Linked DNA regions of Rhinolophus ferrumequinum. The protein of the gene in region 1 purifies or fractionates together with the protein of each later gene. This does not show direct contact. Links are inferred from orthologs where the notes say so. Each region holds a gene or a part of one and is shown on either strand. Other genes may lie near its edges. The genes, in order: clathrin light chain B and CLTCL1.

The links.
Region 2: the proteins of clathrin light chain B (region 1) and CLTCL1 purify together in Homo sapiens (affinity purification with mass spectrometry; 3 studies listed by BioGRID and IntAct, with this or other methods). This does not show direct contact. The link is inferred for Rhinolophus ferrumequinum from reciprocal best matches to the Homo sapiens genes CLTB and CLTCL1.

What each region holds. Positions count from the first base shown.
Region 1 is NC_046307.1:6,077,890-6,093,517, forward strand, and holds the start of clathrin light chain B, read left to right. Parts: upstream 1-8,133; 5' UTR 8,134-8,362; coding exon 8,363-8,549; intron 8,550-13,597; coding exon 13,598-13,644; intron 13,645-15,628. UniProt on the Homo sapiens protein: Clathrin is the major protein of the polyhedral coat of coated pits and vesicles.
Region 2 is NC_046308.1:23,899,227-23,915,475, forward strand, and holds the start of CLTCL1 (clathrin heavy chain 2), read right to left. Parts: upstream 8,037-16,249; 5' UTR 7,591-8,036; coding exon 7,549-7,590; intron 1-7,548. UniProt on the Homo sapiens protein: Clathrin is the major protein of the polyhedral coat of coated pits and vesicles. Two different adapter protein complexes link the clathrin lattice either to the plasma membrane or to the trans-Golgi network.

The DNA.
Region 1 (15,628 bases):
GAGCTGTCTTTTATCAGGTTGAGGAAGTTCCTTTCAGATCTTAGTTTGCTGAGAGTTTTTATTAGGAATCGAGTTTGGATTTAGCCAAAGGATTTTTTCTGCATTGGGATGATCACATGGTTGTTCTCTTTTGGTTAGTTAATGTGATGAATCACATTGATTGAGTCTCTAAAATTGTGGTGGGTGGACGGGTGGCTCAGTTGGTTAGAGCACCAGCCCTGGGCAACAGGGCTGCCAGTTCGATTCCCACATGGGCCTGTGAGCTATGCCCTCCACAACTAGATTGAAGACGAGCTGCAGCTGAACTGCTGCGGAGCTCCTGGGCGGCTGGAAGGCTCAGTTGGTTAGAGCGGGTGCTCTCAACCACAAGGTTGAGGGTTCGACGCCCACAAGGGATGGTGGGCTGCGCCCCCTGCAACTAACAATGGCAACTGGACTTGGAACTGAGCTGCGCCTTCTACAACTAAGACTAAGATTGAAAGGACAGCAACTTGACTTGGATGGAGCTGATGGGTCCTGGGAAAAACACACTGTCCCCCCCCCCAAAAAAAAAAAGTCCTGTTCTCCAATAAAGTCTTGTTCCCTTTTCTCAATAAAACCTAAAAAAAAAAATTGTGGTAAAATGTACAATTCAGTGGTATTTAGTATAATGTTGTGCAACAATTACTGCTATCTAGTTCCAAAACATTTTCGGCACTCCAGAGGAAACCCCATACCGGTTAAGCGGTCATTCCCCATTTTCCCCTCCTCCAATCCCTGGCAACCACTAATCTACATCTGTTTCTATGAATTTGCCTATTCTGGATATTTAATATGCATGTAATCATACAATATGTGGCCTTTGTGTCTGACTTCTTTCATTTAGCACGTTTTAAAGGTTCATCCATGTCGTAGCATGTCTCAGTGCTTCTTTCATTTTTATGGCTGAATAATATTCTGTTGTGTGTATATACCCTATTTTTTTATCCATTCATCAGTTGATGGACATTTGGGATGTTTCTACTTTTTGGCTACTGTTAATAGTGCTGCTATGAACATTTGTGTTCAACTTTTCGTTGGAATACCTGTTTTCTATTCTTTTGGATATATGAGTATGCCTAGGAGTAGAATTTCTGGGTCAAATGGTAATTCTATGTTTAACATTTTGAACAACCACCAAATTATCTTCCACAAGGGCTGTACCATTTTCTGTTCCACCAGCAAGGTGTGAAGTTTCCAATTTCACAACGTCCTGGCTAACACTTATTTTCCTTTTTAAATAAAAAATTATAGGGGTGGCTGATGGCTCAGTTGGTTAGAGCGCAAGCTCTAAACAACAGGGTTGCCAGTTTGATTCCCACATGGGCCAGTGAGCTGCGCCTTCCACAACTAGATTGAAGACAGCAAGCTGTCAGAGAGGCCACCGGATGGCTCAGTTGGTTAGAGCGCAAGCTGTCAACAACAAGGTTGCCGGTTTAATTCCCACATGGGATGGTGGGCTGCATGCTCTTCAATTAAAGATTGAAAACGGTGACTGGACTTAGAGCTGAGCTACGCCCTCCACAACAAGATTGAAGGATAACTACTTGGAGCTGATGGAGCCTGGAGAAATATACTGTCTCCCAATATTCCCTAATTAAAAAAAAAATTGTAGTCACCCTAGTGGGTGTAAAGTGACATCTCATTGTGGTTTCAATTTGTATTTCCCTAATGAATAATAATGAATAGCATCTTTTCAAGTGATGGCTGGCCATTTGTATATCTTCTTAAGAGAAATGTCCATTCAAGTCCTTTGCTCATTTTTTAAACTGGATTGTTTATCTTCTGGTTGTTGAATTTGTAAGAGTTCATTATGTATTCTTGACACCAGACCTGTATCAGATATATAATTTGCAGATATTTTGTCCTATTTTATAGGTTGTCTTTTCACTTTCTAGATGGTGTTCTTTGATGCACAAAAGTTTTAAATTTTGATGAAATCCAATTTATGTATTATTTTTTCTTTTATTACTTGTGCTTTGGTGTCATCTCTAAAAATCTATTGCCAAATCCAAGGTTATGAAGATTTATGCAAATGTTTTAATAGTTTTATAGTTTTAGGTCTTACATTTAATTCTTTGATCTATTTTGATTTCATTTTTGTATATTGTGGGAGGCAAAGGTGCAACTTTCTTCTTTGGCATGTGCATATCCATGTGTGCCAGCAACATTTGTTGAAGAAACTATTCTTCCTCATTGAATGATCTTGGTATCCTTTTTGAAAATCAGCTGACCATTGATACATGGATTTATTCCTGGACTTTCAATACTATTTCACTGATCTATGTCTATCTTCATGCCACTACCACATTATTGATTACTGTAGGTTTGGAGTAAATTTTGAAATTGGGAAATGTAAGTCTTCCTACTTTGTTTTTTGTTTTTCAAGATTGTTTTGGCTATCCATGGTCCCTTGAAATTCCATATGAATTTCAGAATAAACCTTTCCATTTCTGTAAAAATGGTCATTGGGATTTTGATAGAGTTTGCATTGAATCTGTAGACTACTGTGGACTGTATTGCCATCTTAATAATATTAAATCTTTCAATCCATGGCCACTGAATGTTTTTCCATTTATGTAGGTCTTCTTTAAACTCTTTCAGCAATATTTTGCAGTTTTCGGTGTACAAGTCTTACATTTCTTTTGTTAAATTTATTTCTAAGTATTTTTTTATGCTATTGTAAATGAAATTGTTTTCTTAATTGCATTTTTGGGTTTTTTATTGCTAGTGTATAGCAATATAACAGATTTTTATGTGGTGATCTTATGTACGGAAACCATGCTAAAATCATTCATTAGCTCTAATAGATTTTTTGTGTGTATTCTTGAGGGTTTTCTATATAGAAAATCACTTCATCTGTGAATAGAGATAATTTTACTTCTTTTCCAATTTGTATGTCTTTTATTTATTTTTCTTGCCTAATTGCTATGATTAGAAGTTCCAGTACAATGTTGAATAGAAGTGGCAAAAGTGAGCATTCTTGGGTAGGAAGGTTTTTAACTACAAATTTTATTTCTTTAATAGATGTATGGGTATTCAGGTAGTTTATGCCTTTCAAGGAAAATATATCACAGAGCTCAATGTAAAACAGAAAACTGTAAAACTTCTAGAAGAAAACATTAGGCAAAAATCTTTGTGACCTTGGTTTAGGCAAAGATTTCCTGGATAGGATACAAAGACATAATCCATAAAAAAACAAATTGATAAATTATAACTCATCAAAATTTTAAACTTCCGCTCTTCAAAAGACATTATTAAGAAACTGAAAAGACGGAGAGAAAATATTTGCAAATTATATGTCTGATGAAGGACTTTAGTCAGAAAATATAAGGAACTATCAAAACTCAATAAGTAAACAAACAATCCAATTTAAAAGATTTAAACAGATACTTTACCAATCAAGATATATCATACGCGGGCCAGCCTGGTGACTCAGGCGGTCAGAGCTCCATGCCCCTGACTCCGAAGGCTCCCGGTTCGATTCCCACATGGGCCAGTGGGCTCTCAACCACAAGGTTGCCGGTTCAACTCCCACAAGGGATGGTTGGCTCCACCCCTGCAACTAAGACTGAACATGGCACCTTGAGCTGAGCTGCAGCTGAGCTCCCGGATGGCTCGGTTGGAGCACGGGCTCTCAATCACAAGGTTGCTGGTTCGATTCCTGCAATGGATGGTGGGCTGTGCCCCCTGCAACTAGAAAACGGCAACTGGACCTGGAGCTGAGCTGCGCCCTCCACAACTAAGACTGAAAGGACAACAACTTGAAGCTGAACAGCACCCTCCACAACTAAGATTGAAAGGACAACAACTTGACTTGGAAAAAAGGCCTGGAAGTTCACACTGTTCCCCAATAAAGTCCTGTTAAAAAAAAAGAGATATCATAAGATTATTCTAACTTTTGTTGGTAATATATCAATATTGGTTCATTAATTGTGACAAATATATTATACTAATTTAAAATGCTAATGCAGGAAATTGGGCATATGGGAACTATAATATCTGTATTACATTTCTGTAAATCTAAAACCCTTCTAAAAAAATAAAAGAAATTCTAAATGATAAAAATAAAAGTTAAACTTACTCTGGTACTCAGCACTATAAAAAGGAATGAACTATTGATACGTGGAACAACATAGATGAATCTCAAAAGAATTGTGCTGAGTAAAAAAAGCCAGACAAAAGAGAGTGAATATTGTATGATTCTATTTATATAAAACTCAAGGCCATACATAAAGCATATTAGTGATTGCCTGGGGATGGCAGAGAGGTTTTCTAGGTGTACCCACACGTCAAAATTTATAAAACTGTGAACCTGAAATATTGCATGTCAATTATATGTCAATAAAGGTTCTTAAAAAGTATAACGTCTATGATGAATTCAAACACGTCAAATATGTATAAATCCAGGAGTTCATTATAATACCAAAAAGAAAACAATCCACCAACAAATAGCTCGTTATTCACTTTTGGAGACTGCCAGCACATCAATTCACTTTTCTGAAAGCTGGTAAATTAAGAGAAACACTTAAACATTTATATTACCTCTCCTCTATGAACTCTCCTTCTGGGTAAGCAGATGGATAACGAGTGAAAGTTCTTTAAGAATTTCCAGCTAATGCAGAAATAGTGAAAGAGAATCACCACAATTTTTCAACCCCAAATAGTTATTGACTTAGATAAAGATTACAAAGGCTGCCAAAATTGGAGGTAAAAGCCTGAGCTGGAACTTTGCTATTGAGGGACCAGGCTGATGACACCTAAAGCTGCTGATCAATCCTCACATCACTAAGAGGCAACTAGACACGATGTGATATTTCATGTGGTGCGATGGACTTTCCCAACACCATGTGTGAAACATGCTTGCAAAAAAAGTCATCTGGCATCCCATTAAACCTCAAGACCAGGGTTTCGTGATGTGACTGACATTTTGGGCTCAACAATTTTTTTTTTATTTAAATTTATTGGGGTGACAATTGTTATTAAAATTACATAGATTTCAGGTGTGCAAATCTATATCACATCATCTATAAATTACATTGTGTGTTCACCACCCAGAGTCAGTTCTCCTTCAACAATTCTTTTTGATGAGGGGCTGTCCTGTACTTTGTAAGGTGTTAAGCGGCATCCGCAGCCTCTACCCACTAGATGTTAGTGCCCCCTTGCAAGTTGTGACAGTACAAAAAATTCTCTAAATATTGCCAAATGGTCTCTGGAGGGCAAAATCAACCGTGGTTGAGAACCACTACTCTAGATCTCACTACCAATTCATAGGAAATAATAAAGGTTCCAAAGAGCATGTTAAATTCCACCACAGGAATATGACCAGAAAAATCCACACCGAGAAAAAGTCTACAAAACAATAGATTTTCTTCAACAACAACAAATTGCAAGAAAAAAAAAGGGGGAATGTGTCTATAAAGATTTAAGAAAGAAACATCCTTCAAGCCAGTGAGCTAGGAAGCTCCCCAAAGTTAAATTTCACCACCCATGGAGAGACTGAGGTCCCAAATCAGGCAAACTTTAAGGAGGAGTGGGATATGGACCTCCTGTATCATAGAGACCAGCTTCTTGCCCAGGACAAGGGATTAACAAACTACTAGGAGGGAAACACTCCAATTCACACCACACCAGGGAAAGGCACCTCAAAATGCTAATTGAGAACTGTGATTCAGGGTTTGTTGCGCTGGCTTTTAGCCTGCAAAAAAGGCAAAGGGCAGACCCGCCTCCTGGACATGGCCTGTCAGGACAGCTTCCATGCAGGGCTTAGGCCCCGGGCGAGACTACCTTTTAGGCAGGAAAGATGCTGGAAGTCGAGAGAACAAGAAAGGCATTAAGCAGATTTTAGAGAAGAAAATGTCAACTTCATGCTTAAGGAGAGAGTCCTGAAGTAGGCAGATCCTTTAGCTGGATGTCCCTACAGCATGCAAGTGGCCTTGAGGGCCTGAATCTTCTAGGCAGAAACAAGGAAGTTCAGAGACAGACATCCCAGGAAAATCATGAAATTCCAACATCAACAATGATGGTGGAAGCATCCTCCCTTACATGCTCCCCAGGCATCCTGTGCCCCATCAGCACCAGCCAGGATGCACCATGGGTGCTAGAAACCTCTGAATGCCACCTGCATCTTTGGGCATGTGTCAGCCAGAAAGTCTTCCTCCAACTTCTTCTGAAAAGAAAATTTTGTTCAAAGAAATGTCTCTGTCCAGTTTCAGCAACTCCATTAACTCTCACAGAAGCACATCCTCTACGGAAGATTAATTCTGCTTTTTGTAAGCAATGATATTTATTTATCCTGCACAAATACATTTTTTAAGAAGAAAAAGATTAAGAGGAGATTTTTCTATTGACCATGAAGAAGTAACAGGGTTCTAAATTATCTTCCCACTGTAAACAACTAGAAAACTGGACAAAGTATGTGAAATAATTATTTTCAGACATTAACAATAAGTAGAACAGAACTGTGATTCCCTAAGAGAAGAGAAACAAACAAGTATGATTCTCCAGGCTTTGTACCTGAAGGAATGTTAAATTGCTGAGTACAAAAGGGGCACCCAAACAGAGCTCAGTGGTCTCAAGAGTCAAAGAGATAGAGATAGGAGTTTGGGGATGTTGAAGTGACTTGGATTCACGGGACAGAGTACTAGAGGGAAGGGAGCTAGGCAAACCAAGAATTCTAGAAATACACATAAGAGATGCCAGTGACTTTTTGGCCAAATGATAATCTGCATGTGATGATATGATCTTATATGTAGAAAACCCTACAGATTCCACACAAAAAAAAACTGTTAGAACTAATAAATGAATTCAAGAAAGTAGCAGGATACAAAATCAACACACAAATTTCAGTTGCATTTCTTCACACGAACAATGAACAATCTGAAAAGGAAATTAAATCAGAACACCCGGTGGAGATGACAATGGGGAAGCACATAGCGTGTTCACTAGTCCTCTGTCTCCACAAAATCTGGAGTTGACATTTAGGGCAGGTCTGTCAAACAAGCAAACTTTCCAGGTCTTTCCAGCACCCCAGCCTGTAGTTGGGGGAATGAGGAAGAGGTGTGAGATGAAGGTGGAGCGGTGTGCTTGGACCAGGTAAGCAGGGCTTTAAATTTCTTTCTTGTTTACACTACTAATACTATTCTCATCGTGAGAGTGAAACCTACATCAAAGTATTACTGAGCAAGCCTGAAAGGCCCCTTCACCCCAACCCTACTGCCACGCCCCCACCCACTAAGGGAACTGCTACCACAGCTTGGGGTGTATCTTTCCTTTTTCTCTTCCAGTTCATCGTTGATGTTCAAGTTGCAAATCGCAAAGAGAAGATCCCAAAGCCCCTCCGGGTTTCCTGGTACCCCGTTTCAATGTCAGAGCACCTGCACACGGGCTGTGAGGGCCCGCTTGCCATCTGCTGGTCTGATAGATTGTACTCTCCCCATTGCCAAGACTGGTTTTGCTACGTTTTGTCGCCCTAGTGCTTGGCACAGCACAGGCAGGGAGGAGGCGTTCGGACACTGTGTAGTGAGGGTGACTGGGTGGGGGCTGGCAGGCTGCCTCGATCAATTGTCCGCCTTTCTCAGACTGGACATTTGAGGGGCCCAGCCTCTAAGCAGGGGTGCAGTCAGGTCATACAATCTCTGGCGATCTGAGTTGAAGCCACCCCAAATGAAGAGAAATGCACTAAAGCAACACGTCCTGGTGGGAAAGGCTCTGGACTTGCAACAAAGATGCAATCACGCTGTGGGACTTAGTGTCACCTCTCTTGGCCTCATAATAATGAAATTTATAATATCCACCCAGTTTAGGTGAAGAAACTGCAGAGTGGACCAGGAGCAAGCTCCGCGCAGCGGCCACCCTCTCCGTGCTCTGGAGGTCGGGGCTGCCCGCCGCGGTGGCCCTGTGCACGCTATGGCCACTTTGTGCAGTGAGCTTCCCCTGTAGACCCGGCCGGAGCTGTGCGGTGTCCTGGTGTCCTGGAAATGAGCCCTCTGGCAGGGAACGAGAGCGCTGCCCCGGCCTCGGGGCCCCTCGGGCTGCGCCACCGTCCTGCTGCTGCCCTCCGGTGGCCGCCGCTAGGCGACCTCCGGCTGTCCTGCGGGCCCCCTCCCTCGGCCGGTGACATCACCGCATTCCCGTCCCGGCTCCTCCCGTCCGCACCGCAGTGACAGGAGAGTCGGGCCCGGTGGCGAAGAGGAAGTGCGGGCCCACCACACCGAGCGCGTCCCCGCAGAAGTCGGCTCCCTGGGCGCTGGGGTGACTGTGCCGCCGCCGCGGGGCGCAGCGCCGGGCACGCGCCGGGCAGAGCCGAGCGCCAGGCGGACCCTCCAGCAGAGACGCAGGGAAAATGGCTGATGACTTTGGCTTCTTCTCGTCGTCGTTGAGCGGGGCCCCCGAGGCGGCCGAGGAGGACCCGGCGGCTGCCTTCTTGGCCCAGCAGGAAAGTGAGATCGCGGGCATAGAGAATGACGAAGGTTTCGGGGCACCTGCCGGCGGCCAGGCGGTCCTGGCGCAGCCGGGACCCGCGAATGGGGGTGAGTCAGCGCCGTGGCCTGGGCAGCGGGGGGCCTGCGCCTCAAACCGGGGTACCAGGCAGCGCAGACGGGGCCTCTTCACCTAAACTGGACGGGGCCGCAGACGGGGAGAAAGCAGAGCGCCTGCTCGCCACTAGCCAGGAGCAGGCCTGGGGCAGTGTGTGAGCCGGGCCCGGGGGGGAAATGCGGAGGAATCTTGGAAATTCTCATCTGAGGGCCCGCCTGGGGTTGTGGATCTGGTGGCTCCTGGGACAAGAATTCGTCATGACATTTCATTCCCTGGCCAGCTTCACCACTGCGAAGCTTTGGAATCCAATGGTGCCCAGCCCTGAGAATCTGGCCTGGGGTAGTAGTCGCCTGGCTGTGTGGGCTTCCAGCTGAGCCCTGAAAATGTGGGCAGAACCGCAGACCTCTCTGCCCTTCAGACTTAGCTTTCTCCTAAAGCTGGGAAAGCAGGGGACAGTGGGTGCTCCAGGAACTCACACACCTTCCCTGGGGACCACCTGCCGTCCTGCAGTCACTGGGCTAGGCACTTTATTTACATTTAATAATTTTATGTGCATTATTAAACCCATTTCAGAGATAGCAAAATCGAGGCTCAAAAAGTACAGTACTAAAACAACTGGTAAGTGGCAGAGCGACCGTTTAAATCTGTTTCTGTCAGACTCTAAGCCCTCTCCACCTGACCACATTGTCTTCCATATGCCTGGCTCTGAGTTAGACACCAAGGGAGTGGGGGCAGGGCACAGTCACATGTGGTCCTGCCCTGTGGTGTTTTTCAAAGGTGGGCCAGGGCTGCTGTGGTTAGCCTCAGACACAGGGTCCGGGGCCTGGTCTTTGTGACAGCACGTTTATCAATGATGTTTCTGTTCTGGTTCTGGCTTGAAAGAATAATTTCTTAAAACATTTAGTAAAAAAGTAGATATCACCTTCATGGGTGCATCCAACACAGCACTTGCTTTCTGTTAATGTCGTTATTTTGGTGGGGGTTTCTGGGCCTTTTGGAGTCAGTGGTAGCTTACATATTTTAAGAAAATGTTTACAAGTAAGGCTCCTTAGAGTTATGTTTGTATTCATTCAACATTTAGCGACCACCTTCTGTGTGCCAGGCCCACTGGGGATACAGACATGAGTAAGACAGTTTCTGTGACTTGAGGAGCTTCAAGCTCTCTGTAGCCCCTTGCTTTGAGAAATGTAACAAGACTTTTGTAACATATAAGAAAGTGGAGGCCCAGAGAGATTGAGTATCTTGCCCAAAGTCACACAGCCGTGAGTGACAGAACTGGGACTTGATCCATTCCCAGACCTCCCAAGTCTGGGCTCCATGCTCTTTCACATGTTACGGCAGGGCGGTCGGCAGTTATCTTGGGAGGTGATGGGATGTGGGGGTGAGGGGACGGTCTTTTGCTACCCAACCAAACCAGCAGTGGAGGTCTTCTGAAGCGGCAGCTCCTAGCACCTCAGGACAGACTCTTGCACATCCTAGGAAATGCCTGCCCATGTTCACGCACCAGTATTCATTTGTCCACTTCTCCTCCTTGAGACCACCAGCTTCCCCAGTCTGGCTTGGCTTGGGGGATGCTCTGCTGAAAACAGCAGATGTCACAACCCCCTGAGAGAGAAGCAGTAGAAGTCAGGCTGAGGTAACCAGAGGCGTCCGGGAGTTGAGCGGGTTGTGGCCTCTCCCAGGACAGTGGGGCTCTCAGGGCTCACAGCCTGGATGGGAGTTTCCCTCTCTGGCAGGGGTGGGGCATGAATTGGCCGCATGCCTGAGGTGGCAGGGAGAGAAGCAGGGACATGCCCTGTGAGGGTCTGTGGGACTCACAATTTCACACTGCAAAAGCTGCAAATGCCCTTCTGAGTGGGGCAGGGGGATCCAGGAGGTATCGTGGCTGGCAGCTCAGTAGGTGGCCAGAAAGGATGGAATTGATCTGCCCTCCTAAGCCTACATGGTGCTGAGCAAGTAATTCCCCCTGGACTAGCAGTGAGTGCCAGAAGCCAAATGGGTGGGGAACATGTGCCTTGGCCTGCCGGGAGCTGGGTGGAAGCTGGCTTCCTGTCAGCACCGCTGCCTGTCAGCACCTCTGAGTCTTGTCTCTTAGATGATGCCCCTGCACAGAGTGCCCTGACTTGGGCCCCAGGTGCCCCTGGGAAAAGAGGTGTCTTGTGTAGGCCTGAGCCTGAGCTACATTGAGTCTTTCCTCTGTGGGCTGGAGCCTGTGCAATGGACACTGTTTCCATTCATCACCTTGGGTAAGGCCCAGAAGGTTTACTTTTTCACACCTAGATTGCTGAGCACCCAGCCCGGCTCTGCCGCTGACTTGCTAGTCAGTTCCTGGCAAGCCTGTTTGCCCTACTGGGCCTCAGTAAGCTCCCAGGAATGTTCTGGACCCCGTCTGCCACTGTTCCAAAATGGGTCATGTCTGGGACTTGTGTCTGCTGTGCTCCTTGCTGCCGGCCTCTGACTGCAGACACACGATTATAAAAGTGCAAGAGATGCATCAGAAAGCATTAAGGGAACACATACTCACATTTCTGTATGTGGGTGTCTGTGGGTTCCCGAAGAGGCTGAAACTTCATCTCCAGAACACTCTTGGGACTGAGAGACTGGGGCTGAGACTTTCTGAAGGCCAGTGGGGCTTGAGCCTGGGGCAGGTCAGGGTGGAGTGGGGTGGTACAGCTTCCACTCCAGAGAGGCCAAGTGCGCAGACCAGCGTTGTTGTGAATGGACCTTGGAAATATAAGGCCCTGGTGGAGGAGATACCCCAGGGGAAGATGCTGCCTCTGAAACCCCACCAGCTCACCTGAGTTAGGGCCCAGGCCACTCAGGCAGGAGAAGCCCTATCTGAATGAGTAGGGATGATTGCTGACCTGTCTGGTCAGAATCGACCCCTGTTTTACTCTGAAAACAGAGTTGACTCTAATTTATATAGACTGGAGATTATTTCCACGGATTAAGTGTCCCTCCCTTCAATCCCCAGGCTGAAAGCACTGTCACTGCTGCTCACATCTCTGTCTGGCTGGTAAAGGGATACTTGTCCATCTGTGGTCATCTCATGCGTCCTGTGGCTTTCTGCTAGGAGACACTGCAGTTTCTGAGAGGACTCAGACAGGCCTTGTAAATAACCAGGGGCCCCCAAAGAACAACTCGACTTCCATTTAATCCATACTTATTTCTCACCCATTCTGTGCAGGAGCCCTTGGGAGCTGAACAGGATACAGAGCCTGATAAGGGAGTGCATGAGCCCTGGGAGGTCATGAGTAATTGCATAAGAGGGTGGGGGATGCCGTACAGTATTCTGGGATACACCAGAGGTGAGACCCTCCATCAGTGCCTCGGGAAGCAGGAGCGATAGTGGAGGGCTTTCCAGAGGAGATGACTTGTGAACTGGGCCTTAGAGAGTAACTGGATCCAGAAGAGCATTCTTCAGAGAGGGAAGCAGGAAGAAAGGCATAGGGTATTGAGTGGTGTGCTTGGGGAAGGAGGAAACAATATAGGGTTTGTGGGAAGGGCTGGTTGGCAGTGAGGCAAGAAAAATGGGTGGGGCCAGGCTGTAAAGATCCTCAAGTGCTACGTCAAACGTACTCATTTGACAAATATTTACTGAGCCCCTGTTATGTACCAGGCAAGAGGTGCTGGGCTCCAGCAGTGGACAAAACAAAGTTCCTGCCCTCCTGGAGGGTCCATTCAAGTGGGGAAGTCAGACAAACACCTAACCAAGTAAACATATCAGGCAGTGGTAACTGCTATAGAGACAAGGTTGGAGAGGGGTGCCCGAAGGGTGAATGTCAGGGGTGGTCAAGGAAGGCCGATAATAAAGCAACGTTTGAACAGCAGCTGAAGGGAGTGAGGGAGCCGCCCACTTGGAGACGGGTGGGAGGGCCTTCCAGGCAGAGGGAACAGCACCTGCCGAGTCCCTGAGGCAGGAGCAGGCCCTATAGGCTACTGTGGTCCGTGGGAAGTGGATTTCCTTTTGGTTCATTTTTATTAAATTTTTAATGAGAGGAGTGACATAAGTAAGTGTATGCTTTACAAAATGTCAGCTCTGGAGTTGGTTTGAAAGAGGGTTGGGAGAGCATGAAGCTAGAGTCAGGAAGGCCTGTGAGTGGACAAAGCCTTCCTTCCTTCCTTCCTTCCTTCCTTCCTTCCTTCCTTCCTTCCTTCATTCATTCTTTCAAGGCATTTATTCATTTGTTTGTTCAACAAATAGGTTCTGACTCTTACTAAGTTGCAGGTACCGTGCAGGGATCTGGGAAGGACAGTGGTGAGGACAAAGGATATAGCTGGGCCCCTCCAGGTGTTTGCCACCAGTAGGGTGGAGACCAAAGCATCTGTACAGGCGAGAGCTGGCGCTGAGGCCAGACTGGGCAGAGAGTGGAGGGCAACTTGGAGGGTCACTGTTGCAGCAGAAGCCACAGGAATTTGTGACTAATCAGATGTCAGGGACCAGGAGAAGTCATTGTTGAGGGCAAAATGAAATCCTTCTGGGAGGGGCAGAAGGAGGAAAAAATAGGCCCAGTACTGTCTGGTGGGGGCTGTGGTTCTTGCTTTCTCAGGTGGAGCAGTTGCTCAGGAGCCCCAGGGACAGGCACAGACGCGCAGGTCCCACTTCCTTAGCCCTTGCAGACTCCGCCCTGAGCCTACAGCTCCTCTACCTGCTCACCAGGCACAGGCTCCATAGTTGGGCCATTCCCAGCTGTGGCAGAGGGTATATCCATTTCAGGTAGGTGAGGAGCTATTACTCATTGGATGACCTTGGGCAATCACATAGCCTCTCTGAGCCTCAGTTTGAGAATCTGTAAAATGGGTTGATGTCAACTTCATCACAAGACTGGTGAAAATCAAATGTGATAAAGACTGTGAGAAGGGATGGTGAACAGTTAAGGGCAGAGTTCAAGTCTTTTATGTATCCAGAATGTTTATTTTGGGGGAGGGGTCAATACTCGCATGGATACATACAGTTTGGCTCCGGGTGCTAATGTAGGGCCATTCTGCGCTTCCTATAAGCTGAGCAACAAGTAATGCTGTCTCCTTGTTCTCTTTCTAGCTGGTTCTGAGGACATAGGGACCACGATCAATGGAGATGTGTTTCAGGTAAGCAAGATTCAGCCTTGGCAGTGGTAGGGACTGACAGCCTAGACCTCAGGAACTTACCCATCAGTAGGATTAGGGCTCCCAGTTTTCTGATCACTATGTCTGATGCATTGGGATGGAAACATAGAGATTTTGACATGATTTTCTTGTTATGTAGGAGAACGTGATGAGGAATAAGGACCACGAGAGACAGGGATTGAAGGACTGTAGCCTCTGGCTTCCCACAGTGTTGCCCTGCTCCTGGAGGGAGGGATAAAGTAGCCCACCGTGGTGTGGACTGAAGGAAGCACAGGGCCCTGCACACATTGGCCCTCGCAGGCCGAACTGAGTGGCCGTCCCTCACACACATGAACATTTTAACTGGGCAGGCCTTTGACCCAGAGATTCCATTCCTCAGAGTTTTCCTAAGGAAATAACTAAACAAGGACCCCCAGATTCTTCGCAGGATGATGTATAGTAGCAGACAAACTGGAAATGACCTAAGGGTCCAGCCCTGGGAGCCTGGGTGGGTAAATTGGGAAACCATGCTGTTTTTAAAAAGACAGTCAGAGCTTTCTGTATTGACATGAAAAGATGCCCACAATCTATTACGTGGGAAAGCGGCTTGCAGAACAATATGCACAGCATGGTCCTGCTTTTTATTTTAGATATGTTTGCACAGAATATCTGAAAGGTTGTGAACCAACTGCTAACAGTGGTTAGCCCCAAAATGGGGGTTGGGGAGGGGTAAGAAAAGGGCTTTCACTTTTATTGTTTAAAAATTCTTTACAGTGGTTCTGTGCACACTCCCACACACATACCCTCACACACAAACACACACGCATGCACCAAAACACGTAGTAAGGATATTTCTAGTTAAAGATTGCCCTCTGTACCCACCTAACCCTCCTTCCCTCATATATATATATATAAAAATTGGTTTAAAAATATTTAGACAGATGAATAACTGTGTTGCACTCCTGAAACTCATAGAATATTGTACATCAATCATACTTGAATTAAAAGTATTTAGACTTAGAGAACTTGGCCCACAGATGGCATCCCCAGGACCCCACAGATGCAGCTGTCGTCATCCCCCCACCCCCTGCCAGACGCCTGGGTGAGGCAAAGCTTTCATTAGACGAGCCTTAGTTCCCACTGGACGGGGCAGAGACCCTCAGCTCCCGGGCCGCTGCTTGGGGATCTGCCTCTTCCCGCCCTGTCGCGCCTCCTGAATTCTCGAAGAGAATAAACAATACTTTCTTATGTAAGAGGGATGGGCTGGTACCTTACACAGGGAAACTGGCCAAGTCCTGTCTCTGGAAAATTACTCAACTATCTGCAAGCTAGAAAAGTCAGTCTCTAGGGCTTTCGGATTTCATGTGTCCATGGGCCTGAAAGCCCAAAATAATCACTGTTTCATCCTGCACCGTTTGGTAGATCATTGAGACACGGGCTGCCCTTGCTCTGGGCACACCAAAAAGGACTTTGCTTGACCCACAGGCCTGTGTCCTAAAGTAGACCTGGAGCTGGAGATGCATTTGGAACCACAGAAGTGCCTAGAACACTGTGAGGAGGAGAATTTTCCCTTTCTACGCATTAGGATGAGACCTCCCTCCATACGCTCCGGTCTTGCTTTGTGTTTGACGGATCTGAGGAATCCTGGGCCTCCTCCCCAATCTCAGTGGGAACTCTTACTCTCACTGTCCCGTTAATAACCCCAAGTATGTTTATTTTTTTAAATTTTTATTGGGGAATATTGGGGAACAGTATGTTTCTCCAGGGCCCATCAGCTCCAAGTCATTGTCCTTCAGTCTAGTTGTGGAGGGCGCAGCTCACTGGCCCATGTGGGAATCAAACCAGCAACCTTGTAATTCAGAGCTCGTGCTCCAACCAACAGCCCTCCGGCCGCCCCCCCCCCCCAAGTATGTTTATTTGTTTCACACTCATGCCATCCCAGAAGCCTTACAGGCAGGACGGGGTCACAGATGAGGCCGGTCACTCA
Region 2 (16,249 bases), on another chromosome or scaffold:
ATTTATTGAAGAGGCTTTCTTTTCTCCTTGGCTCCTTTGTCGAAAATTATTTGCCCACAAATATGCTGGTTTATTTTATTTGCACAACAACTAGAGAACACTACTAGCATTTACTGGGCTGGGGCCAGGTATGCTAAACACAGGACAATCCCACAAAAAGAACTTTTACATCTAAAATACCAAATACCGTTGAGTTTTACAGAGTCCCAGAGAAATAATGTGCCCCCAACCAGTATTTTTCATTAGTTAGTAGAAACAACTAAGGACTGTTTAGTTAATATTATTCCTTGTATAATTATTCTGATAGGTAACCTAGCTACACATTTAAAATAGCCTTTATAAGAGTTAATCAAAAGTAGACAAAATACTATCAAATGATTTTTTTTCAGTTCTCAAGACTTGTAATTAAACAAATCCAAATTCAAATCTGACACTCGGGAAAACGTAAAAATAAACCGCTCATTTGACAGTCCTGTGGTCGCTATATTTAAGGGGCACAGGAGTAGCAGTCTGACTACGAGGGTTACAGCTGTGTTTATACAGGACTGTCGGTGAAAACACCAATTGCCTGTATCAGAGCCAGAACATTCTAGTTGCACTGAACATCCCCCCTGTTTTCACGCCTCTGTGCCTCTGAAGATGCCAGTCCTTTTCCTTCTGTAGTTGCCCCTTTCCCAGGCTCATTCACAGCCTTATCCCAGCGGCCAGCATGTGTATGTTAAATAATTAACTAGTAAAGAAGTTACTTGTTTTAGGCAGTCAGATTTAGTTCATCTGCAAATACATTTAAGAAAATATATTTTATATTTTAAACTTATCAGCAAGCTTTTCCTAGCTCAAAGAGGGACATTTGTAAATGATGATACTAAGGTCTTTTCTAGAACTTACCTAAACTTCTAGGACTAGGTTAGTTTAAAAAGTACACTTGCATAGTGCTTTATAGACCCTGTCTCAAATTACACCACTGCAGGTTTTCTGTATTTTAAAACCAATGCATAAGACCCTATATTTATCCCTGTTAAATGTCAACTAGTTGGATTCCTGCCTGTCGAGATCTCTTTGGATTCTAATTTTGTCACTGAACTTTGCTGTCCCAGCTCTGTGGCATCCTTCTGTAGCCAGCCAAGAGTCACGGTAATCTCTCTCTGGCACGGAGGCCACCAGCAGGTCTCAAACAAGAGAAGAATAAGAAAGTGTTGGAGAAGAGAATAAAAGCAGCAGATTCGGTGAAGCAGCAAGCGGGAAAAATCAGGAAGATCAAGGGAAAGCAAAGAAATACTTACAGGATGGGGTGACGGGGTGCCCACTACTACCACCCAGGGAGATATTAATGAACAAAACTGTCAAACAGATGCTGTGATCTGTATGTGATCTTGAAAGAAAGATCTTCAAACTGTAGTAAGTTACAAATGCAAAGGGCAGGAGAATATTTATAGAGAATGTTCTTTTAACCATTTCTTGAAAAACATAGTAGTTTCCTTAATAGTGGTTTCTTCTGGGGAGAGAAACCCAGTGGTTGAACAGAAAGGCTTTAATTTTAATTTATAGTGTTTGTATGGGGCTCTTCTCCCATGGGTATGTATTACTTTGTTTGTAAAGCTTGTTCCACATAGACTTTTGCCCCAGTTCCAGAATGCCCAAGAACCTGGTGGGGAGGAACACTGACTAAGATCCACTTGGACTTGGTAACTCTTTCAACCCAATAAACTCAAAAAGTACTGGAAATCTTTGCAGTTTAGGGATTTTGAGCATTAGAATGTGTTAGCTAGTGATGATCAGTTTTTCCAAAGGAGCCCTATTCAAATTCATTTCACATTTGGTCCCTCACCACCCACTGTTGTGGGCATGCTCACAAAGGCTCACCTTCCCACACACCCTGGGTGAGCAGGTGGTTACTTTCCTCACTTTGTAAATATGAAAAGTCAGAAGGTAAATGACTTGCCCAGTATCTATTTCTAGCACAAGGATCATAAGTCTGCCAAAAGGCAAAATTTAACAGCTTACACAAGACCTTAAAAAAAAAGTTTTACATAGGTGTACAACAATTTTAGCACATAATGAGCCTACTGCTGTTTGTCTCAGTAGATCAAAAACCATTTCACAAAACGAGATGGCTATGTAATAATAATATAAATCAAGCATGTACTAGGCTGTGGGTACACGTCTCCCTTCAGTGACTTCCCAAGGGCCTCTCCAGAAGACACATGCTCATGAACTGTTCTCTCAAGCTCAGTATACTCCTTAGAGTTCTGCCTTCCTTACTCACATAATAAAAGCCTTCAAAGACCAACCTTTTTCTTTAATTATGAATTATGACCAACATCTAAAAGATTGATTCAACCCTGCTGAGTGTGACTTATTTGGGAAGAAATGCCAAAGTCCCACCCTCACCTCTTTGAGATTCTGATTTATGGACACCGGCTAGGTGTTTTGAAAGTCCAGCCTGTGCTGAGAAGCACTGATTAAAACTAGTGACCACCTTGCTCCTATAATTTACACAGACTGCCTTTGCAGACTCTGCATCTATTAAGACCATAAGCTAAGAGATATCCTACATAATCAAATACTTGAGAGAACATGTTTATAAGTTCTCAGTGTATTGAGCTGTGCCACATTTCAAAACTCTTACAAACTAGCAGCTGCTTTTTGATCCAGCTGGGAGAAAATTACCTAGGGCTCACGATAAATTTCTAGGTCACTGAATGGTTCAGCCATTCCTCTTATGAATTAAGGTGTCATCAGTTCTTAGCCCTTTCGCTTTTCTCCATTCTCAGATATCACAAACAGCAACAACCTTACAACTCAGATATCTGAATTTCAAAAGTTCAAATAGTACTTATAAAAAAAAGAAACATATTTCTGCAGAACCAGTCCTCTCAAAACCAATGCGACAGGATAAGCAAAACTAAATAAATCGCTATGATCTTAAGGTGAAGTAGAAGGAATGCTGTATTACAAAACACTACATATAAAAGTGCAGCTTCTGCTCTGGGTACATCCCTGAAAAGTTGATTGTAGAATAAAAGTTTCCAAATACTTATTTCTATTTTCCTACTGACCATTATAAAACTACTGTTTTTCCTCCGGGAAAAATCTGGTCTGAGAATTTTCACATGAAACAAAGCAAAATTAAAAACATAAAAAAATTAATATTCTTATAGTAAGATGCACAAATGTAAAGCATCTAGAATTATTTTTCTATGCATGACATGGAAACTAAGATTCAGAGAAAAAAACTAAGTTTAAATGAACTAAGTTTTATCAGTCACTAGTCTACATTTTCCCTTTCCTAATATTGTAAAACTGGAGAACCTTCTTTTCTCAAGTAATTTTTGGTTTGGGGGAGTGATCAGGTGGACAGAGGTGAGGCAGAAACAAAGCAAAGTCAGTGAGACAAACAAGCACTTTTAATAAAGCAGACTTACAGCAAACAGTCACAGGTGAGCAAACCTCATCACTAGACAATTTACATTATAACTGATCAGTCACTAATTACACACACATTTTATTATGAAATTGGTTTCAGCGATCTGACAGCCTATTATGTACCAAGCCGCAGGAATACAATTGCAAATAAGAGGAAATCCTGACCTCTCTGAGCTGGCAGTCCAGCAGGGAAAATGAACAACTATAACACCATTGGATGAGGGCCATCATAAGAGAAGTCCCAAAGGCCACAGGGGCACAAAGGAAGGGCTCTGACAAGTCAGGGACAGCTTCCAGACAGTGTCATTTAAGCAGATACCAGATGGTTAAGTAGGACTTGGTTGGGTAATGACAGTGGCAAAGGGAAGAATGGGTTCTGGAAAGAGGCAACAATATGTGCAAAAGCCCATGAGCAAAGGTGTCAGGCTCCAGAAAAGGTCCTGGAGGACAAGAAGGGGCGTAGCGAGAGCTAAGCAGGTGCTAGATTAGGCAGGGCTTTACAGAGCTCTTGGGAGTCTGGCATTTTCATCTTGGAGGCAACAGAGAACCATTCACTGACAGACTAAGCAGCTGTTCATCCTTTGAGAAGGTCTCTTTGCCTATGTGCTAGAGAATGGACAGGGGAGGGCAAGACTGGAGGCAGATGACCAGAGACATAGTACGACCATCTAGGTGACGAATATGGCAGACTCTAGGGCAGTGGTGGTCACGATGACAGTGGCAGAACAATGCCAAAAATAAATAGGAGGAAGAACCAATAGGCTAGGGAGAAATCATGCTTGTCTCCTAGATTCCTGACAGGAAACTGGAGAAGATACATGTTTGGGGAGGAAGAAGAACCCTATTTCTGAACATGATGTATCTGAGGAAACTATGGGTCATCCAATGGCTTTGTTCAACAGAGAGCTGTTGTAATGGCAATCACAGCTGACAAGAACATAGTGTTTTATTACAGGCCAGTCACTGACACTTTACATTTACCACATTTATTACTGCAAAACCTCAGTAACTCTACGAGGTAAGAATTATACCTTTTATCTCTTATTTGATAGATGTAGAGATGGAGGCACAAAAAGGTTACCCAAGTTGCCCAAATTCATATGGTCAGTATGTGCCTGAGTCCAGACTCAAACCCTTCCACTTGGCCTCAGTCTCTACTCTAACCAGAGTCTGCAATTGCCTCTCCTACATGCAGCTCCGAGGCTCGGCAAAAATATGCAACCTCTCTGGGAATAATGAGTACATGAGCATACACACAAATCAGAGCAGAGCATACTACAAAGATAAAGGGGCTTAAGACAAACCCCAGGCTCATGCATAAGAGACATCTATAAAGGAAACTGGGGTATGGGCAAAGAGGTAGGAGAAATCCTGGGAGACTGTGGTACCATCAAAAGCAGCCGAGAAAGGTCCAGGAGAGGCAATAAAGTACAGTGTCAAATGCAGCTGGAAAGTCATGGAAGATGTTTGTGATGCTAAGAGTTTGAGTTTGTTTTTATTTTTTTTAATTTAATTTAATTTTTTTTGCTTTGTTTTTATTTTTTAAAATAATGTTTTATTTTTCGATTACAGTTGACATACAATATTGTATTAGTTTCAGGTGTACAAAATAGTGATTAGACATCATATAACTTATGAAGTGATCACCCCGATAAGTCTAGTACCCATCTGATATCATACACAGTTACTTCAATATTATTGACTATATCTCCTGTGATGTACTTTACATCCCCGTGATGGAGTTTATGTTTTACAGCAGGGATTGGCAAACCATAACCTGTTTTTGTATGGCCCAACTAAAAATGGATTTTACATTTTTTAGAAGGTTAAAAAAAAAAGGAAGAATTTGTGACAAGAAACAATATGTGGCCCTCAAAGCTGAATATATATACTCTCTGGTCCTTTACAAAAAAAGTCTGCATAACGACATGTCTGCATGTGACCTTGGCAAGGGGGACAAAAACCAGACTGCAGGTTATTGAGGAACATAAGGGAAGTGAAGAAGGGATAGGGCAATTCTTTCATGACGTCTGGCCATGAAGTAAGAGCTTCAGGAGGACATGGGAGGAAGAAGTTTGCTGTAAAGATGGAAGCAATATGAGCATGGTTAAGCACAAGCAGGAAGAACCCACTAAGAGGAAATGGATGAAAATACGGGAAAGACAAGATGCTACCGAGCAAGGCCCCATTACATACACAAGAAAAAGAACCCCACTTTGGAGGTAACAGGAAGGCAGAAAAGGGAGATCGCATACAAGTTTGTAAGGCCGCATGCATCAAGGTGAGGAACATACCAGCTTATGCCTTGTTTCTCTAATTACCTGCTGGCAGTGAGAGGGAGTGGCAGGATCAGGGATTTAAGGACAAGGTGGAAGTTCTGAAATGTCTGCCGTGAAGGGAGAGTGTGCAGGCTAGATAATAAACAAGGAGTGCAAAGCAGCCTTCACACTGGTTAGTGCCAGAAACCACAAACCACAGATTTCTACTCTCATGGCCTGTATGCCACAAGCCACACATATTTTCCAGATAATAGAATATGTCCCTTCAAGGCATTATGAACTTTGATGGGTATTTAAAATGCCTTAGTGCTTCCCTACCTTTTGAAAAGAATGTATTTTGACAGTGGCTAAAGCACAGGCTTTGGAGTCAGAGACCTGGTTAGAACCCAAGCTCTGTCACTTACCAGCTGTGTAATTTTACCTGAATTACTTAACCTCTTCGTGCCTCAATTATCGTGAGTTAAATTAAATGAGATTTCTAAAATATACAGTATCGTGACTGGCAAGAGAAACAGCTCAATAAATGATGACTATATTATTCTAATAGCAGTAGTAGTATTTTGCTGTTCTACATAACTGGCAACAGGCTTGGGTCAGTGGTAGAATGGAGCCCAGGAAGGAGATGGGTGTTTGGGAGACTTCCACCTCCACACAACCAGCTATATCACTAACCGAGTAACCCTGGCAGGATACTCAGGTATCAAGTTTTCAATCTGCGGGATGGGGGCGATTTGAACAGTCACTATAGACTCCCAGGGCCTTTCTCGTTTGGATATAGAGTTAAAAGTGCACTGTGTTGTGAAAACACGACCTTTCAATCCACCAAATTCCTTGCTGTATAGCTGTGTAGTCAAAAAGACCCAAGTCTGAATCCTTCTCTTGTTCAATGAATGACTGAGGACAAGTTACTCATTTAACATCTTGTGCCTCAGTTTCCTTCTTTAGAAAACAGGGGAAATACTGCGTATTTTATGAAGTGTAATGATTTAACATAAAGCACTTAAGAAAGAGCTGGTAGCTACTATTCATCTAGCCCCATCTCCTCACCTGTAAAGTGAGAATCGTATTACCCTTCACAGGTATGACACCTGAGTGTATGTGAGCGGAGCGCTGTGCCCAGTGCTTGTACCGAACTTCGTTCAAACACAGGCAGCCAATCTTTCTTTTCCTCAGGCACAACTATATCAGGAGAGTTATAGATAGAAGAAAGTGGGACCTCATTAAAAAGCTAAACTTCGAGGGTATTATTATCGTATTGAAAGGATCTTCTGAAAAAAACACTATGATTACTTTTCTTCTTTGGTCACACAATTTGAAGATCCTCTCCCACGAGGCCACACTAGCGACTCTGCAAGTCAACAGACGCAAACTCCGGCGTAAGTATCACGAGATGCAAAAGGGAAATTTTAGGATTGGACACAGGTTTTGGAGTTATAAAGCTTGGGATTCGAATGCATGCGCACCGCTAGTCAGTTAAAGCTTTTCAAAGGCACTACGACAGGTTTCGGCAGTTTATGGTTTCCATCACTCGGCACTCTGAGCATTCCCGAGGTCTGAGTCGCCCGAGAAGGGTTACCCAGACCGCACCCCCAGAGCCGACAGTCGCTGCGGGATAACGGTTTCCCGGGACGCGGCCACCGCGCCCGACACCCACCCGCCTGCCCGCCCCGGCCATTAGGCTCCCGAGCCGCGCCGTCTCCACTGGAGTCGGTTGGGGGCCGCCGGCCGGTCAGCGGCGCCGCCGGGTCCCCCGGGAGGTCGGGGACGCGGCTGACAGGACCCAGCGCGAGACCCGCCCTGGAGCCCGCCCGCCGCTCCCTCGGTGCGGGAGCTCGGTCCTCACCTGGAGGTGCTCCTGGAAACGGATGGGGAGGACCTGCGCCATGGCGGACGCGGAGCAGAGGAGGGGAAAGCGACAGCTCCCCTCGTGTGGACAGACCCGCGGACAGGCAGACGCGCCGACCCACTGACGGGAGGCAGCGGCAACAGAGGTCGCAGCCGCCGCCGCGCAGGCGCATTGCCTGGGCTTCGCCGCACGTACCCCTTCCGCGTGAGAGTGCGCGGGATCCCTCCGCCCGCCTTCCGAGGGTCCGCGAAAAGTAGTCCGCGCGTAGCCTTACTTCCGGCACCCCAAGCCAAGGCGAGTCTGTGCTGTCCGGGTCTGTGCTCAGGAAAGGTGAGCACCGGAAGGTGGACTCGGGCTCTGACTGCAGTGGGCCAATGCCCAGGACAGGTGTGTGTGGCGGAAAACTAGGCGTGGGCTGCCCTCAGTAAATTCCGTGAGTGACGGGGTTAGAAGAAGAGGTAAACCAAGTTACCAGGCTGCTCTTGCCTAGAGCCGTCCATATGTAGAAAAGTTCTACCTCAAACTCTGGACAGTTGAGTTCAGAGGCACTTTTTAAAATTCAGGCACAGATGTGCCCAAAACACCGCCAAAGGAGTCTTCGAAGTATGTGACAGATGTGTTCCTGAGCAAGGCTCAGCCCCCGCTCCTATAGGAAACATCTTTCCGGGTTCATTCGTTTTCTAGAGAATACTGTGTCAGAATATCAGTGCGACGAGTCTGCAAAGATAACATACACGGTAGCAGCAGATGACCAACCAAAAGCCAGTGAGAATCACCTGGGTTGCCTGTGGTCGCACAATACATAGCAGTAGCAAGTCCGGAACTAGAGTCCACACCTGCCTTGCCCAGCAGCCAGTTGTTTTCAGAGGCACCATTTGAAGATGTGTTTTGCATATAGATGGCTCGGCTGCATAAAAGATGTTTGTCAGGCAAGGGGAAGCTTTTGGCATTCTGCGTTGGCACTCTCACAGAGTAATCGCTATCCTCTACTGTTTCAGGTTGCTCAGTGGTCATTTTAAGAAACGAATGGTCCACCCTGAATAATACAGCGATGCAATTATTTGCACATTAACTTTTCAATATAGTAGCCAAAAATGTTAAAGAGAACACACTGTTCACTTGCAAATTAAATCTCTTTTCCAGTATTACCTCTGCAGACTGCCCTTTCAACATCTGTGTGGCCTCATCACCTAACAATAGAGCCGATTTTTGCTGTGGGTAACACTACATTTCTCTATCTTGGCAATAATGCCTATGATCTCAAGTACCCTTTACCCCAAACATATAAATCCTTTAGTATTAATAGTATCATTCCCTAGATCACCCACCCAGGGCTTTTTTTTGGGGGGGTCAAAACTAAAAATTTACACCCCAGAAGAAAGGAAAATAATGCATAATCAAAATGGTAGGATTGCAAATAAGTCAGAACTTTGCCTGGTGTCTATATTTATAAAGGAACTAAACATTCTTACCTGAAAAGGGTCTTAATATTCTTACCGTTGCTGTGTGACTTGCCAAGTAATCCTGTCAAAAGTCTTTCAATTCTTTGTGCTTTCTTAATCTTCACGATAGAAATGATGAGATCCTACAACTCAATAAGACCACCAACCAAACAGAAAGATGGGCAAAAATATATGAACAAATAATACATAAAAAAGAAATACAACTGATTCTTACACATGAAAAAAATGCCCAACTTCGCTCATAAAAAAGGTAAATTAAAACCATACTGATTATGTATCTCTGTATCTCTCTATATATACATTACATTTATATTATGTACTTTTTCTACCTATCACATCAGTGAAGGACAAAACTTTGATAACTGTGTTGGCAAGAAAGAGAACTTCATGATAGCTGGGCACAGACACTTTAGTATTCCACCCAGGGTATCTATTCTACAGTCTTTCTTGCAGACCTTCTTCCTACAAATAAAATTCCAAGGAAAATGTGCAGCTCATGGTAAAAACAAAACAAAACAACAACAACAACAAAATAACACTCAGGAAAACAAAGCACCACAAGAAAGAACCAGGAGAACTAAAAGGCAGATACAGACTCACAAAGATTGAAATGATGAAATTATCACACACAAACAGACTTTAAATTAGTATATTTATTTTTTAATTATTGTTTTTCAGTTACAATTGACATTCAATATTATTTTATATTAGTTTCAGGTGTGCAGCGTAGTGGTTAGATATTTATATAATTTATGCAGTGATTCCCTGCATTAGTCTAGTACCCACCTGGCACTATACACAATTATTGCAACATTATTGACTATATTCTCTATGCTGTACTTTGCATCCTCATGACTATTTTGTAACTACCATAAGTTACTATATTTAATATGTTTAAAGAGCTAACTGGCAAGCTTAAAAATACATGCTGGGGAACAAATACATGCAGGAAACCTGAAACTATAAAGAATGACCAAGCAGATTTAAAAATGAACCAAATAGAAATTCTAGAAATGCAAATGTAATAAAGTACTGTAAAGCTTGGTCATCACATACTAAGTGGGACCAAAATATCTAATCATGTTGTGAGATAAATAAAATGAGAATAGAGGAAGGACAAGGATGGGAACTACATCAATAAGAATCCTTCAGGAGACAGAAACCACGCCAGTTATTTAACAGAGGGACTGGAGTATAAACAATAGTTAACATAAATAAAGCTGATAACTAGGCAGCTGGGAGGGTAAAACGAGAACCCCAAGTTATCATGGATGTACAAGTATAGAAAGTAGCTACCATCCCTACAGCTCAGGGATGAATGGGATGAAACTAGAAATATTTCAGTTTAGAGGAAGAGCACTACAGCGCTGGAACTCAGGCCTCTGGAAAGAGAGTCTCTAAGCCTAGAGGAGGGTTTCCATGGGGTAGGGACGTAGACCTCTGAGAAGTGTCCCTATGAGACTTAGGTGCACACTGCTGCTGAGGGGCTGTGGGGCCAGGTCCCAGACCTCTGAGGAGGACGTGCATTGAGGCTGGTTATGCAAGTCTTGGAAAAATTTCAGACTGGATTCAGCTTCTTCTGTGGGAAGAACCTGCTCTGACTTGTTGAAGAGTGTAGCTGGGGTGATGTCCACAGGAGCAGACCCTGCAGTTGCCCTCCAGCATCCCTATGGGCAGGGAGTTTCTGCCAGTACAGAAATATAGTTTAAAGAGTCTTAGTGCCAGCACCATAAAGCAGTTTATAGATGGGGAAAGGAAAATAGAACTGAAAGACAAACTTAAAAACCGGCCTAGGAAACACGTTATAGCTAAATTCCAATTCTCATGGGGTTTTCCAATACATGAAATTAAAAAGTCCATGGATAGCTTCTGTTTCCAGAAAGCATCAGAGAACTAACAAGGCAGAAATAATTATGGGGTCAATATCCAAGAGAAAAGAAGAAATGAGAGCGGTTAGCCTGGCATTTGGGATGCTTTTTCCTGAGGGATATCTGCCAATTCCAGAGGAGTGTCAGAGAAATTAGGGTTCTGGGCAGCACTTTTAACACACTCAGAGACATAGGAAGACAAAGTTTGAAGTCTGGGGATCACCCAGGAGAGACCCTAATGTTTTGCTTTTGGAACACAAATTGTTTGGGACTCCATTCAAATCATGTCAGTCCTTGCCAGCAGCAAACATAAATTCTCTTGGGAGAGAGACAACCTCATGATAAGCCTCAAATTATTTCATATGCAATGATCAGCACTCAATCAGAAATAAGTAGGAATCCAAGAAGATAGGACAAATGATTGTAAATCAAGAGAAGTAACAAATAGATCTATAGAGGATTCAGATAATGGAGTTTTCCCAAAGACTTTGAAAGGACTATGCTTAATATGGCTAAGAGAATAAAAGATACGACTGAGAATTTTATTAAACTTTAGAAAAAGAGGGTGGCTGGTTAACTCAGTTGGTTAGAGTGTGGTGCTAATAACACCAAGGTTACCGGTTTGATCCCCACATGGGCCACTGTGAGTTGTGCCCTCCTTAAAAATAAATAAATAAAAATAAAAATAAATAACAAATAAAAAAGGAACAAAATGGAAATTCTAGAACTGAAGACTATAATCGAAATTTAATGAATAGTGTTTGTTAGGTTATATACAGCTAAAGGAGGAAACTAATGAAGTTGGAGTTAGGTCAGAAGAATATATCCAAATTAAAGCACAGAGAGAAAAGTATAGAAAGTACAAAATATAGATAAATATAGAGGCTACAGTAAGGACTAACATACATGTAATTGGAGTCCTAGACGTGGAGAGGATGAGACAGACACAATGTCCGGAGAGATAATGGCTTAGAGCAGGGGTGTCCAAACTTTTTTCAATGTTTTTCACCAAGGGCCATATGCGGTAAAAATACACAAACAGCCGGGCCACTCACTCGAGGTGAAGTACGTATTGCCTCACCTGGTTTATTTAAGTAAACTAAATATATTTTTGGAATTTGTTGTGGGCCAATTAACAATGGATCATGGGCCGCAGTTGGCCCATGGGCCACAGTTTGGACACCCCTGGCTTAGAGTGTTTTGAAAATTGATGAAATAGATCAAGCCTCAGGTTCAAGAAGAATTACTTCAATCAGAATTCATAAAAAACAAACCACATTTGGGCATATCATAGTAAAACTGATGAAAACTAAAAAAAAAAAAAAATCTTAAAAGCAGTCAGAGGGAAAAGACAGATTACTTTTGAATGTCGAGCGGGGAGAAGGAGGAGGAGGAGGAGCACACACTAGAGAGGGGCTAATTGATTATTTATTTAGCAATCTTCACTCAATCCAGTTAGCAGTATACCATGGTAAAAGTCAAAGGCAATTAATAGAATATGTTGATGTCAGAAAGTAAAGGTGGTGAAGACTAAACTATATACATTGATACCGCTGTCATGTCAAAGGAGTAATCCCAAGTTTAAGTGATATGTTTACTAAGCATATGTTTACTATTGATCAAAAATCACTTGGCTAACTACACAAATAACATCAGTAAGGAGTATCCAAAAACAGTAATAAGCTTATAGGATAGTAAGTATTACAGTAGATGTCAAAAGTTCACCAAACCGGGGGAGAACAACACTGGAAAAGTCATAAATCAAAACCTTGCCAAGTCTGTAGCTGACAGAAACTCAGGCATCTCCCACAACACTGCTTGTTAGTTCCCAAGAATGTTGCTGTTGCCTTTGTTGTTGTTGTTGTTGTTGTTAAAAAGTCAAGGCATCTTCTGATGCTATAAGCTGTAAGCTGCATATAAGTTTTCAAGGTGTCAACAATCTCAAGAATGTTGTTATTGTTGTTAGAAGTCAAGACTTCTTCTGATGTTGTAAGCTGTAAGCTGCATACAAGTTTTCAAGATGCTGACAAATTCTTAAGAAGGCTAACCGTGAGGAACAACACCGGAGAGGCCAGGAACCAGCCAGACTTCACCAGGTTCACGGCTGAAAGTCAGGACATCCCCTGGTGTTGTAAGCTGCATGTTGCTGGAAGTCTTCAAAATGTTAGAATGATGAAAGATCACCAGTGGCAAATGACCAAATGATGACATAATAATTACACTGTCAACTGAGGTCTGTCTTATATATTTTCTCAGATGTACCTTAGAGCCAGGCTCTTTGTTCCTGCCTCCCCCTCCGGGAATAGCCAGTTCCGGGAGGGTCCAGCAGTCAATGATAAAAAAAGAAAATATATTACTTATCTGGCTGAAGAGCTAGTTCATCCAGACAAGGAATATCTACTGTTCTTGCTTGGGATCATCAGCCCAAGGTCTTCCAAAGCCTTGCAATGTGCCTGTCACGTTGTCCTGATATAACTTAGCTACTTCTTCACTTCATCTGCTGATGTGGGTGAAACCAACAGAACAGAGTGACTTCTCTCAACCCCTGATCAAGAATTTCTTTAACCCTAAGCTAACCATCACCTCACAACATGGACAGAACAACAAACATCTCATATCTCCCCTACTCGAGAGAATGAGACCAAACAGAAAACCTCATCTCTTAATGTCCCCTGCTCAGGAGAATGAGACCAAAGGGGGAATTTATTCAACCCCTGATCACAGCACAGAAATCACCTCACATGTAGGAACAGGTAAAAGCTAATAGACAACAGCTCACATCAACCAATGAAGGCAAATTTTCCTCAACATCTACCCTACATAAGGAGAAATAATTAGGCTGAGAACTGATTTCTCAAACAACAAGAAGCATCATAGATTCTAAGTTTTACATACACATACACACACACACACACACACACACACACACACACACACACACACCCTTTAGGAATGAAAGGGGATTGATGTCATTTGCAGACAAATGAGATCTGAGGAAATTCATTACCAGTAGACTTGAACCAAAGGAAACTAATGGATTTTCTTCAGCAAAAATAAAATGATTTCAAATGGAGGATGAGAGATGCAGGAAGAATAAAATTCAACAAGGAGAGCATATTGGTAAATCTAAATGAAATTTGAGTATATAACACAAAATAATAATAATGCCTTCTGGGATTAAAAACATACCAGAATTAAAATATATGAAAACTATAGTATGTGAATCAGTAGTGGAATAAATGGATTTAAGGTATTCTAAAATAAAAATCCAAGTATCATCTAAGAAAAGGTACAAAAAGCTTAGATTTGTAGTATATTGAATTATTGATTCTACACTGTAGTCCTCTGTAGTAGTTCTATTCATCCATCTCCTCTTTTCCGCTTACAAAAATGAAACTCTATACTCATTAAACAATAACTCCCCCATTCCTTCCTCTCTCCAGTACCTGGCAACCTCTAATCCACTTTCTGTCTTGATGATTTTGACTACTCTTAGGCACCTAATCTGAGTGGAATCATGGTCTGTCTTTTTATGACTGCATTATTTCTCTTAGGACAATGTTCTTCTTTGTCTCTTGTGAATTATTTTGATTTAAAGTTTGTTTTATCTGATGTTAACCATCGCTGCTTCCTTTTGGTTAATATCTGCATGGAATATCTTTTTCCATCCTTTCACTTTCAACCTATTTGTGTTTTTGGATCTAATGTGAGTCTCTTGCAGACAGCATATAGTTTGATTATGTTTTTATATCCATTCTTCCAGAATCTGTTTTTTTTTTTTTTTAAACAGGACTTTATTGGGGAACAGTGTGTACTTCCAGGACTTTTTCCAAGTCAAGTCAAGTTGTTGTCCTTTCATCGTGGTTGTGGTGGGCTCAGTTCAGCTCCAGGTCCAGTTGCTGTTGTTAGTTGCAGGGGGCACAGCCCCACCATCCCTTGCTGAAGTCCAACCGGCAACCTTGTGGTTGAGAGGACGCGCTCCAACCAACTGAGCCATCTGGGAGCTCAGCAGCAGCTTAGCTCAAGGTGCCGAGTTCAATCTTAGTTGCAGGGGGCAGAGCCCACAGTTGAGGAGCTCCCAAACCTTGTGGTTGAGAGCCCACTGGCCCATGTGGGAATCAAACTGGCAGGCTTCAGCATTAGGATCACGGAGCTCCAACCGCCTGAGCCACCGGGCCGGCCCTAGTTTCTGTCTTTTGATTGGAGAGTTTAATCTACTTACATTTAATGTATTACTGAGAAGGAAGGATATCTGTCATTTTACTATTTGTTTACCATATACAGTGGTACCTCGTTTTTCGAACGTCTCCATTGACCAACATTTTGGTTTATGAGTGCCCTAAACCCGGAAGTAAATGCTTCAGTTTTTGAACACGACTCAGAAGTCGAACATGTCATGTGGCTTCCGCTGAGTGCAAGATCCTGAGGCCTAGCTGTTGGCTGTTTTCGAACATTTCAGAACTTGTGCATTACATTCGAAAACCGAGGTACCACTGTACCTTTAGATTTTTTGTCTCTCGTTTCCTGTATAACTATCTTCTCCTGTGTTTAGTTGTGTTTTTTACAAATTGAAGGTTTGTGGCAATCCAGCATTGAGCAAGTCAATAAGTGCCATTTTTCCAACAGCATTTGCTTACTTTGTGTCACTGTGTCACATTATGGTAATTCTCACAATATTTCAAATAATGATGAAAAAAAAGATTATGACTCACTGAAGGCTCAAGTGATGGTTAGCATTTTTTAGCAATAAAGTATTTTTAAAGATATTTACACCTTTTTAGACAATGCTATTGCACACTTAATAGACTATAGTGTAGTGTAAACATAACTTTTACATGCGCTGGGAAACCAAAAATTTTGTGTGACTCGCCTCATTGTGATGTTTGTTTTCTTGCAGTGATCTGGAGCTGAGCATGCAATATCTCTGAGGTAAGCCTGTAACAGTTTAATTTGAATTTATACCAGCTTAACATCAAAAACATACAAAAGCTCTACTTCTCTATATCCCCATCCCTACCACTTTCAGTTGTTGATGTCACAAAATTACATCTTTATACTTGTGTGCCCAAAAACACAACTAGTAATTCTTTTTTTCATTTTTAAAAATTTATTTTTCAGTTATAGTTGACATGCAATATTGTGTTAGTTTCAGGTGTACAACATAATTATTAGACATTTCTATACCTTAGTAAGTGATCACCCTGACAAGTCCAGTACCCATCTGACACCATACGTAGTTATTACAATATTATTGACTATATTCCCTATGCTGTAATTTACAGTCCTATGGCTATTTTTATAACTGGCAGTTGTACTTCTTAATCTCTTCACCTTTTTCTCCCACCCTCCCAACCCCCCTTCCATCTG